2 linked regions of the Callithrix jacchus genome follow. The protein of the gene in region 1 purifies or fractionates together with the protein of each later gene. This does not show direct contact. Links are inferred from orthologs where the notes say so. Each region holds a gene or a part of one and is shown on either strand. Other genes may lie near its edges.

Region 1 (3,809 bases):
TTTTGTTTTGTTTTGTTTTGTTTTGTTTTGAGATCAGGGTCTTGCTTTGTCCCTCAGTCTGTAGTACAGTGGCGTGATCTCGGCTCACTGCAACCTCCTTCTGGCTTCAAGCGATCTTGTCCCTCAGCCTCCTGAGTAGCTGGGATTACAGGCATGTGCCCCCACACCTGGCTTTTTTGTTTTTGAGATGGAGTTTTGCTCTTGTTACTCAGTTTGGAGTACAATGGCACAATCTCTGCTCACTGCAACCTCTGTCACCTGGGTTCAAGTGATTCTCCTGCCTCAGCCTCCCAAGCAGCTAGGATTACAGGCATGCACCACTACACCTGGCTAATTTCGTATTTTTAGTAGAGACAGGGTTTTTCCATGTTGATCAGGCTGGTCTCTAACTCCCAACCTCAGGTGATCTACCTACCTCGGCCTCCCAAAGTGCTGGGATTACAGGCGTGAGCCACCATACCAAGCCATGCCTGGCTATATTTGTATTTGTAGTAGAGATGGAGTTTCACCATGTTGGCCAAGCTGGTCTCCCAACTGCTGACCTCAAGTGATCCGCCTACCTCAGCGTCCCAGAATGCTGGGATTACAGACATAAGCCACTGCGCCCGCCTAGAATGAGTTTTCAAAAGCCTGGGGTGAGGACAGCGGGGAGTTTGAGATACCAGGAGGCCCAGGTCAGGAGGCATCTTTTTCTGTGAGCAGTATTCATGTTGTTCTTAGGCTCACCAATGCTTCTATTAGAAAATATGCTTCAGAGTTTAGACAAAAGTACTTAAAATGGTATCATTTCTACTTAAAAGCATAGAATGCCTTGCCTAAGAACAAATAGTGAAAGGATGAAAATTAGTCTTGTTTCAGGAACAGTGCTTTTTAAACTTTTCAGATCTTTAAAGATGTAGAGCAGACATCTTTAATCTGGGATCCATGGATGGATTCTCTGAAACTGTATGCATAGTTTTTGTCTACTATTTCTGGTGGAGGGGTTCACAGATTTTGTTAAACTATTTAAGAACCATTAATATATATAAACAAAGAACTAGTTACATAGCAAAAATGTCTAGTATCAAGTCTGGATATCAAGGGAATTTTGTGTTGACATGGCAAAAACATTAGCTAACATTTATTTCTTTGTTTTTTTCAGGGACACAGTTTCTGTGAAGGTATAAGACTATGTAGCTTTACCTGAATAACTGGGGAAGAGAGCCTTTAAGATGCTTAAATGTTGCTTCTTTAAGTTAGTTTTAGTTTTTCAAATTAATTTTGCTCCTATTCTTAAATTCTAGTATATGACTCTCAACCCTTCTACTAAGAGGAAGAATACTGGATCCCCAGACAGGAAGCCCTCAAAGAAATCTAAGACAGACAACCCTTCTCTGAGTTCACCACTAAACCCTAAGTTATGGTGTCATGTACACTTGAAAAAGTCATTGAGTGGCTCACCACTCAAAGTGAAGAACTCAAAGAATTCCAGATCTCCCGAAGACCATCTAGAAGAAGTGATGAAGATGATGTCGCCCAATAAGCTGCACGCTAACTTTCACATTCCTAAAAAAGGCCCAGCTGCCAAGAAACCAGGGAAGCACAGTGACAAGCCTTTGAAGGCAAAGGGCAGAAGCAAAGGCATCCTGAATGGACAGAAGTCCACAGGGAATTCCAAATCTCCCAAAAAAGGACTGAAGACTCCTAAAACCAAAATGAAGCAGATGACTTTGTTGGATATGGCCAAAGGCACGCAAAAGATGACACGGGCCCCACGGAACTCTGGGGGTACACCTAGGTCCTCTAGTAAACCTCATAAACATCTGCCCCCTGCAGCCCTACACCTAATTGCCTACTACAAAGAAAACAAAGACAGGGAAGACAAGAGGAGCGCCCTGTCCTGTGTTATCTCCAAAACAGCTCGTCTTCTCTCTAGTGAAGACAGAGCTCGTCTCCCAGAAGAATTGCGAAGTCTTGTTCAAAAACGATATGAACTTCTAGAGCACAAAAAGAGGTGGGCTTCTATGTCTGAAGAGCAACGGAAAGAATATTTGAAAAAGAAACGGGAGGAGCTGAAAAAGAAGTTGAAGGAAAAAGCCAAAGAACGAAGAGAGAAAGAAATGCTTGAGAGATTAGAAAAACAGAAGCGTTATGAGGACCAAGAGTTAACTGGCAAAAACCTTCCAGCATTCAGATTGGTGGATACCCCTGAAGGACTGCCCAACACGCTGTTTGGGGATGTGGCCATGGTGGTGGAGTTCTTGAGTTGTTATTCTGGGCTACTCTTACCAGATGCTCAGTATCCTATTACTGCTGTGTCCCTTATGGAAGCCTTGAGTGCAGATAAGGGTGGCTTCTTATATCTTAATAGGGTGTTGGTCATCCTCTTACAGACCCTACTACAAGATGAGATAGCAGAAGACTATGGTGAATTGGGAATGAAGCTGTCAGAAATCCCTTTGACGCTGCATTCTGTTTCAGAGCTGGTGAGGCTCTGCTTGCGTAGATCTGATGTTCAGGAGGAAAGTGAGGGCTCAGACACGGATGACAATAAAGATTCAGCTGCATTTGAGGATAATGAGGTACAAGATGAGTTCCTAGAAAAGCTGGAGACCTCTGAATTTTTTGAGCTGACGTCAGAAGAGAAGCTACAGATCTTGACAGCACTGTGCCACCGGATCCTCATGACATACTCAGTGCAAGACCACATGGAGACCAGACAGCAGATGTCTGCAGAGTTGTGGAAGGAGCGGCTTGCTGTTTTGAAGGAAGAAAATGATAAGAAGAGAGCAGAGAAACAGAAACGGAAAGAAATGGAAGCCAAAAATAAAGAAAATGGAAAAGTGGAGAATGGGTTAGGCAAAACCGATAGGAAAAAAGAAGTTGTGAAGGGTGAGCCCCAAGTGGATACAGAAGCTGAAGACATGATTAGTGCTGTGAAGAGCAGAAGATTGCTTGCCATTCAAGCTAAGAAGGAACGGGAAATCCAGGAAAGAGAAATGAAAGGTAAAATTTCATGCGAGAACAAAGGGGAGCTCTGTAGAAGATGGTAAAAGAAAGGAAATTACTGAGCTGATGGTGGAATCTGTTTGCTTACTTACTTCTCTATGTAGTAACCCAGCACCTATTGGTATGTATTTTATTTTTTCTTAGTTCTGTTGATAATTTCATAGTTTAGCTGGAGTGTTCAGCCTGGCATTCTGATTAGTTAATAAGTTAATGTGATATTGGCATCTTTTCTGGGTTTAATAAAAGACCAAATCCACAAATAGGCATAGTGGAAACAACAAAGAACTTGGGAATGGACTGAGCTAGCTTCAGGTCCCGGCTCTGACTTAGCTGTGCAGTGTTCCTTTGCGGGGGATAAGTAACCAGGTCCCAGCTCTGACTTAGCTGTGCAGTGTTCCTTTGTGGGGGATAAGTAACCAGGTCCCAGCTCTGACTTAGCTGTGCAGTGTTCCTTTGTAGGGGATAAGTAACCAGATCCCAGCTCTGACTTAGCTGTGCAGTGTTCCTTTGTAGGGGATAAGTAACCAGATCCCAGCTCTGACTTAGCTGTGCAGTGTTCCTTTGTAGGGGATAAGTAACCAGATCCCAGCTCTGACTTAGCTGTGCAGTGTTCCTTTGCGGGGGATAAGTAACCAGGTCCCAGCTCTCACTTAGCTGTGCAGTGTTCCTTTGTGGGGGATAAGTAACCAGGTCCCAGCTCTCACTTAGCTGTGCAGTGTTCCTTTGTGGGGGATAAGTAACCAGGTCCCAGCTCTGACTTAGCTGTGCAGTGTTCCTTTGGGCTGGATAAGTAACCAGGTCCCAGCTCTGACTTAGCTGTG
Region 2 (3,809 bases), on another chromosome or scaffold:
GTCTGGGCTGCTGCAAGGTGGGAGGGAGGCAGAGGCGGGGCCAGGGCTGTGGGTGGGCTGGCAGACATCGCTGGGGCCATGTCTTTGGTTGAATGACTGCCCTAGGATGTGGACAGCCCCAGCTGGCGGAGCACTACCGTCCTTGGGCTGCTAGATATTTACGGCTTTGAAGTGTTTCAGCATAACAGGTCAGTGCCGCCTTCCCCTGTCCCGCCCTCCTCCTGGGTCTCCTGGCCTGGCCCCTCTCTTCTGTCCCCCAGCCTGATTCTTGCTCTGGGACTGCCCAGCCAGCCAGAGGGCGGCTCTGTGTTTTGTACTGTCTGTGCTCAGGGGCCCTGTCCTGCCTTCCACCCCTCCTGGTCCTCTGTGCCCTCTGAGCCGCGCTGGGCTCTTCTCTGTCCTCACAGCTTTGAACAGTTCTGCATCAATTACTGCAACGAGAAGCTGCAGCAGCTGTTCATCGAGCTCACGCTCAAGTCGGAGCAGGAGGAGTACGAGGCCGAGGGCATCGCGGTGCGTGGAGCCTGGGAACGCTCTCCGTGGGCACAGCCTGGGAGTGCTCTCTGTGGCACAGCCTGGGGGCACTCTCCGTGGGCACAGCCTGGGGGCGCTCTCCATGGCACAGCCTGGCTGTGGCTGAGGACGCTGGGCCCCCACGGTGATGCCTCCTTCCCTGTCCCCCTCAGTGGGAGCCTGTCCTGTATTTCAACAACAAGGTTATCTGCGATCTGGTGGAGGAGAAGTTCAAGGGCATCATCTCCATTCTGGTGAGTCCTCCAGGCTGGAGGCTGGTGGGGGAGTACCCCAGGTGCCCTGTCTCCTTCCTCTCCAGGCTGGCCCACAGAGGGCTGGAGTCAGGGCCTGGCCGGGCTGTGAATGGAGGGCGGAGGGAGTCGCTGCCAGGGTTGGAAGCTCCCTGCCGAGGCCCCCTGCAGATCCACCCCTCCCTGTGTCTGTGCCTCCCGTCATGGTGCCCCCATCTTCTCTGCTCTCTGGCCCCACCGCCACACATCCCTCCCCTGTGCCACACCCCCCAGGATGAGGAGTGTCTGCGCCCTGGCGAGGCCACAGACCTGACGTTCCTGGAGAAGTTGGAGGACACCGTCAAGCACCACCCCCACTTCCTGACGTGAGTGGGGCTGTGGACAGCTGGAGCAAGGTTCCTGTGGGGCAGAGCCTGTGGAGCACAGGCATCCCTCACAGCCGCAAGGGGGTGTCCAGGGAAGGTGCCGAGCTAAGGATCCCTCACAAGCACCCAGAAAACTGAGAAGCTTAGATAAGCACGCTGAACGCGTGAGTCTCACCTGCACAGGAGGCTAGGGCCACAGCTTCACTTGAGCCCTGAGTTTGAGGCTGCAGTGAGCGAGGATCAATCCACCTCCAGCCTCGGCCACAGAGCAAGATCCCATCTCAAAAAGTGAAAAAGACAGCTGGGCACATGGTCACATCTGTCATCACAGCACTTTGGGAAGCCGAAGAGGTGGATCTTTTGAGGTCAGGAGTTAAAGACCAGCCTGGCCAACATAAACCCTGTCTCTACTAAAAATATAAAAATTAGCTAGGTGTGGTGGGTCACACCTGTAATCCCAGCTACTCGAGAGGCTGAGGCAGGAGAATCGCCTGAACCCGGGAGGCGGAGGTTGCAGTGTCTCCAAAAAAAAAGACGACGTTAGTAGCCTGGTTTCCTCCCTATTCTTTTTTGAGAATAAAACTTGCTGAGATTTTTTTAGCTTCCTTATTTGGAAATTGCTTTTTATTGAAGGAATCCCCTAAAGTGGGGAGAGGTAGAAACAGGAACCAGCGGCCAGGATGTTCCGTGCGTCATTGCCAAACCTGAGCCGCTCTGTAGGGAGCTGTCCTGTTGTTCCTGCATCTCACGAGACTCCAGGGGGAAGTCCTTTCTTTCCCCAGGTCATCTCTCATCTGGGGAGCTGAGCGGGGCTCAGTCCCAAGGCTGTTGAATGCCAAAGCCATAGTATTTTTTTGCATAATAAGGCTTGTTTCTGGCCAGGTGTGGTGGCTCATGCCTGTAATCCCAGCAGTTTGGGAGGCTGAGGCAGGTGGATCACCTCACATCAGGAGTTCCTTGGCCAACATAGTGAAACCCCATCTACTAAAAATACAAAAATTGGTCAGGTATGGTGGCACGCACTTGTAATCCCAGCTGCTTGGGAGGCTGAGGCAGGAGAATCCTTTGAACCCGGGAGGTGGAGGTTGCAGTGAGCCCACCATTGCACTCCAGCTTGGGTGGCAGAGTGAGACTCTGTCTCAAAAAGGAAAAAACTTGTTTCTGGGAGTCTCTCTGAATCTATGCTGGTTTGGGGGCCGCATGATTCATTAAATAAAAAAAAAAAAACTTGTTTCTGGTTATAAAAATGATCCCGCTCGTTGGAGAAGCGTTGGAATGTTCGCAAAAGCCCCGTGAACCTGTCAGCTACAGGCCGTGGCTGTCAACAGCACCAGGCATTTCCCTCTGGCCTTTTTCCATATGTTTTTTTTTTTTTTTTTGTAGTCAGGAACTTATTGTATACAAGGCTTAGGGCAATGCTGTATCCTGAGTGTTTTCCTGCAGCATCAAACAGAAAGTTTTCTCAAAACCCTCCTTGCCGAGGCTCTGACCCACACACTTTTTCCTCTGGCCTTTGGGGGCCCCAGGCCAACCCCAGGTTTCTGCTGGAATCTCAAGGCTACCACCCATCTCCATGCTTCTATCTTTGTCTGTATTTCTGGTTATTGCCTGGAATAGTTCTTAAAAGTAGTAAGTGGACCAAAGGGTATAAACACGCCTTGGACTAACGTACTCTCTCCAGGCGGCAGATTCCATTCTGAAAAGCAGCAGGCAGCTCACCACCCCCTTTCGAGCAGAGCCCGAAGCAGCGAGAGTTGCCCTCCCTGCAGCAGCCCTGGCAGTCAGGAGGCCCAGGCCCTGGTCCTGGCACTGTGTGGCCCTGGGCAAGGCTGTCTACCTCTCTGAGCCACTGTGGTCTGTTCTGCTGGGGGAGGCTGCTGGCCCTGTCTGGCCTCCCACACGGCGCAGGGGTTACGACCCAGCCCTGGGGTGTGCCTACTCTTTGCTGGGTGGCTGGCTCCTGCTCCTGAGATCCCTCCTGCAGTCCGGCCACCTGCAGCTTCCTCCCCATCACCTCAGGCACAAGCTGGCTGACCAGCGGACCAGGAAATCTCTGGGCCGAGAGGAATTCCGCCTTCTGCACTACGCTGGGGAGGTGACCTACAGCGTGACTGGTGAGGATCCTGGGCTGGGTCCTCACGGGGGCCGCAGGGAGCCTCTGTCTCACCTCACATGTGCTCTCCCCTCCCAGGGTTTCTGGACAAAAACAATGACCTTCTCTTCCGGAACCTGAAGGAGGTGAGGGACCTGAAGTGGGGGCCGAGGGGGAAGGGGTCACCCACAACTCTGCACCTGTGTCCAGGGGCCTGTCCCTGTGCTCCAGCCTGACCCCGGCTCTGCCACACAGACCATGTGCAGCTCGAAGAATCCCATTATGAGCCAGTGCTTCAACCGGAGTGAGCTCAGTGACAAGAAACGGCCGGAGACGGTGAGGGGTGGGGCCAGGCGTGGGTGAGGGCTGAGCCAGCCTGGGAGCTGGCAGCATGCGTGTGAGCCCGTGTTGGTGCCCGTGTGCACATCTGTGGGTGTCTAGGGGGCTGCTTCTAGGTGCCTCTTTGGCTGCTGCTTTTTTTTTTTTTCAGACGGAGTTTCGCTGTTGTTACCCAGGCTGGAGTGCAATGGCATGATCTCGGCTTACCGCAACCTCTGCCTCCTGGGTTCAAGCAATTCTCCTGCCTCA

The links.
Region 2: the proteins of BAZ1B (region 1) and MYO1C purify together in Homo sapiens (affinity purification with western blotting; 3 studies listed by BioGRID, with this or other methods). This does not show direct contact. The link is inferred for Callithrix jacchus from reciprocal best matches to the Homo sapiens genes BAZ1B and MYO1C.

The regions. Positions count from the first base shown.
Region 1 is NC_133503.1:10,210,201-10,214,009, forward strand, and holds part of BAZ1B (tyrosine-protein kinase BAZ1B), read left to right. Parts: intron 1-1,283; coding exon 1,284-2,985; intron 2,986-3,809. UniProt on the Homo sapiens protein: Atypical tyrosine-protein kinase that plays a central role in chromatin remodeling and acts as a transcription regulator. Involved in DNA damage response by phosphorylating 'Tyr-142' of histone H2AX (H2AXY142ph).
Region 2 is NC_133506.1:66,755,750-66,759,558, forward strand, and holds part of MYO1C (unconventional myosin-Ic), read left to right. Parts: intron 1-105; coding exon 106-188; intron 189-407; coding exon 408-513; intron 514-686; coding exon 687-767; intron 768-1,037; coding exon 1,038-1,129; intron 1,130-3,148; coding exon 3,149-3,243; intron 3,244-3,320; coding exon 3,321-3,367; intron 3,368-3,476; coding exon 3,477-3,557; intron 3,558-3,809.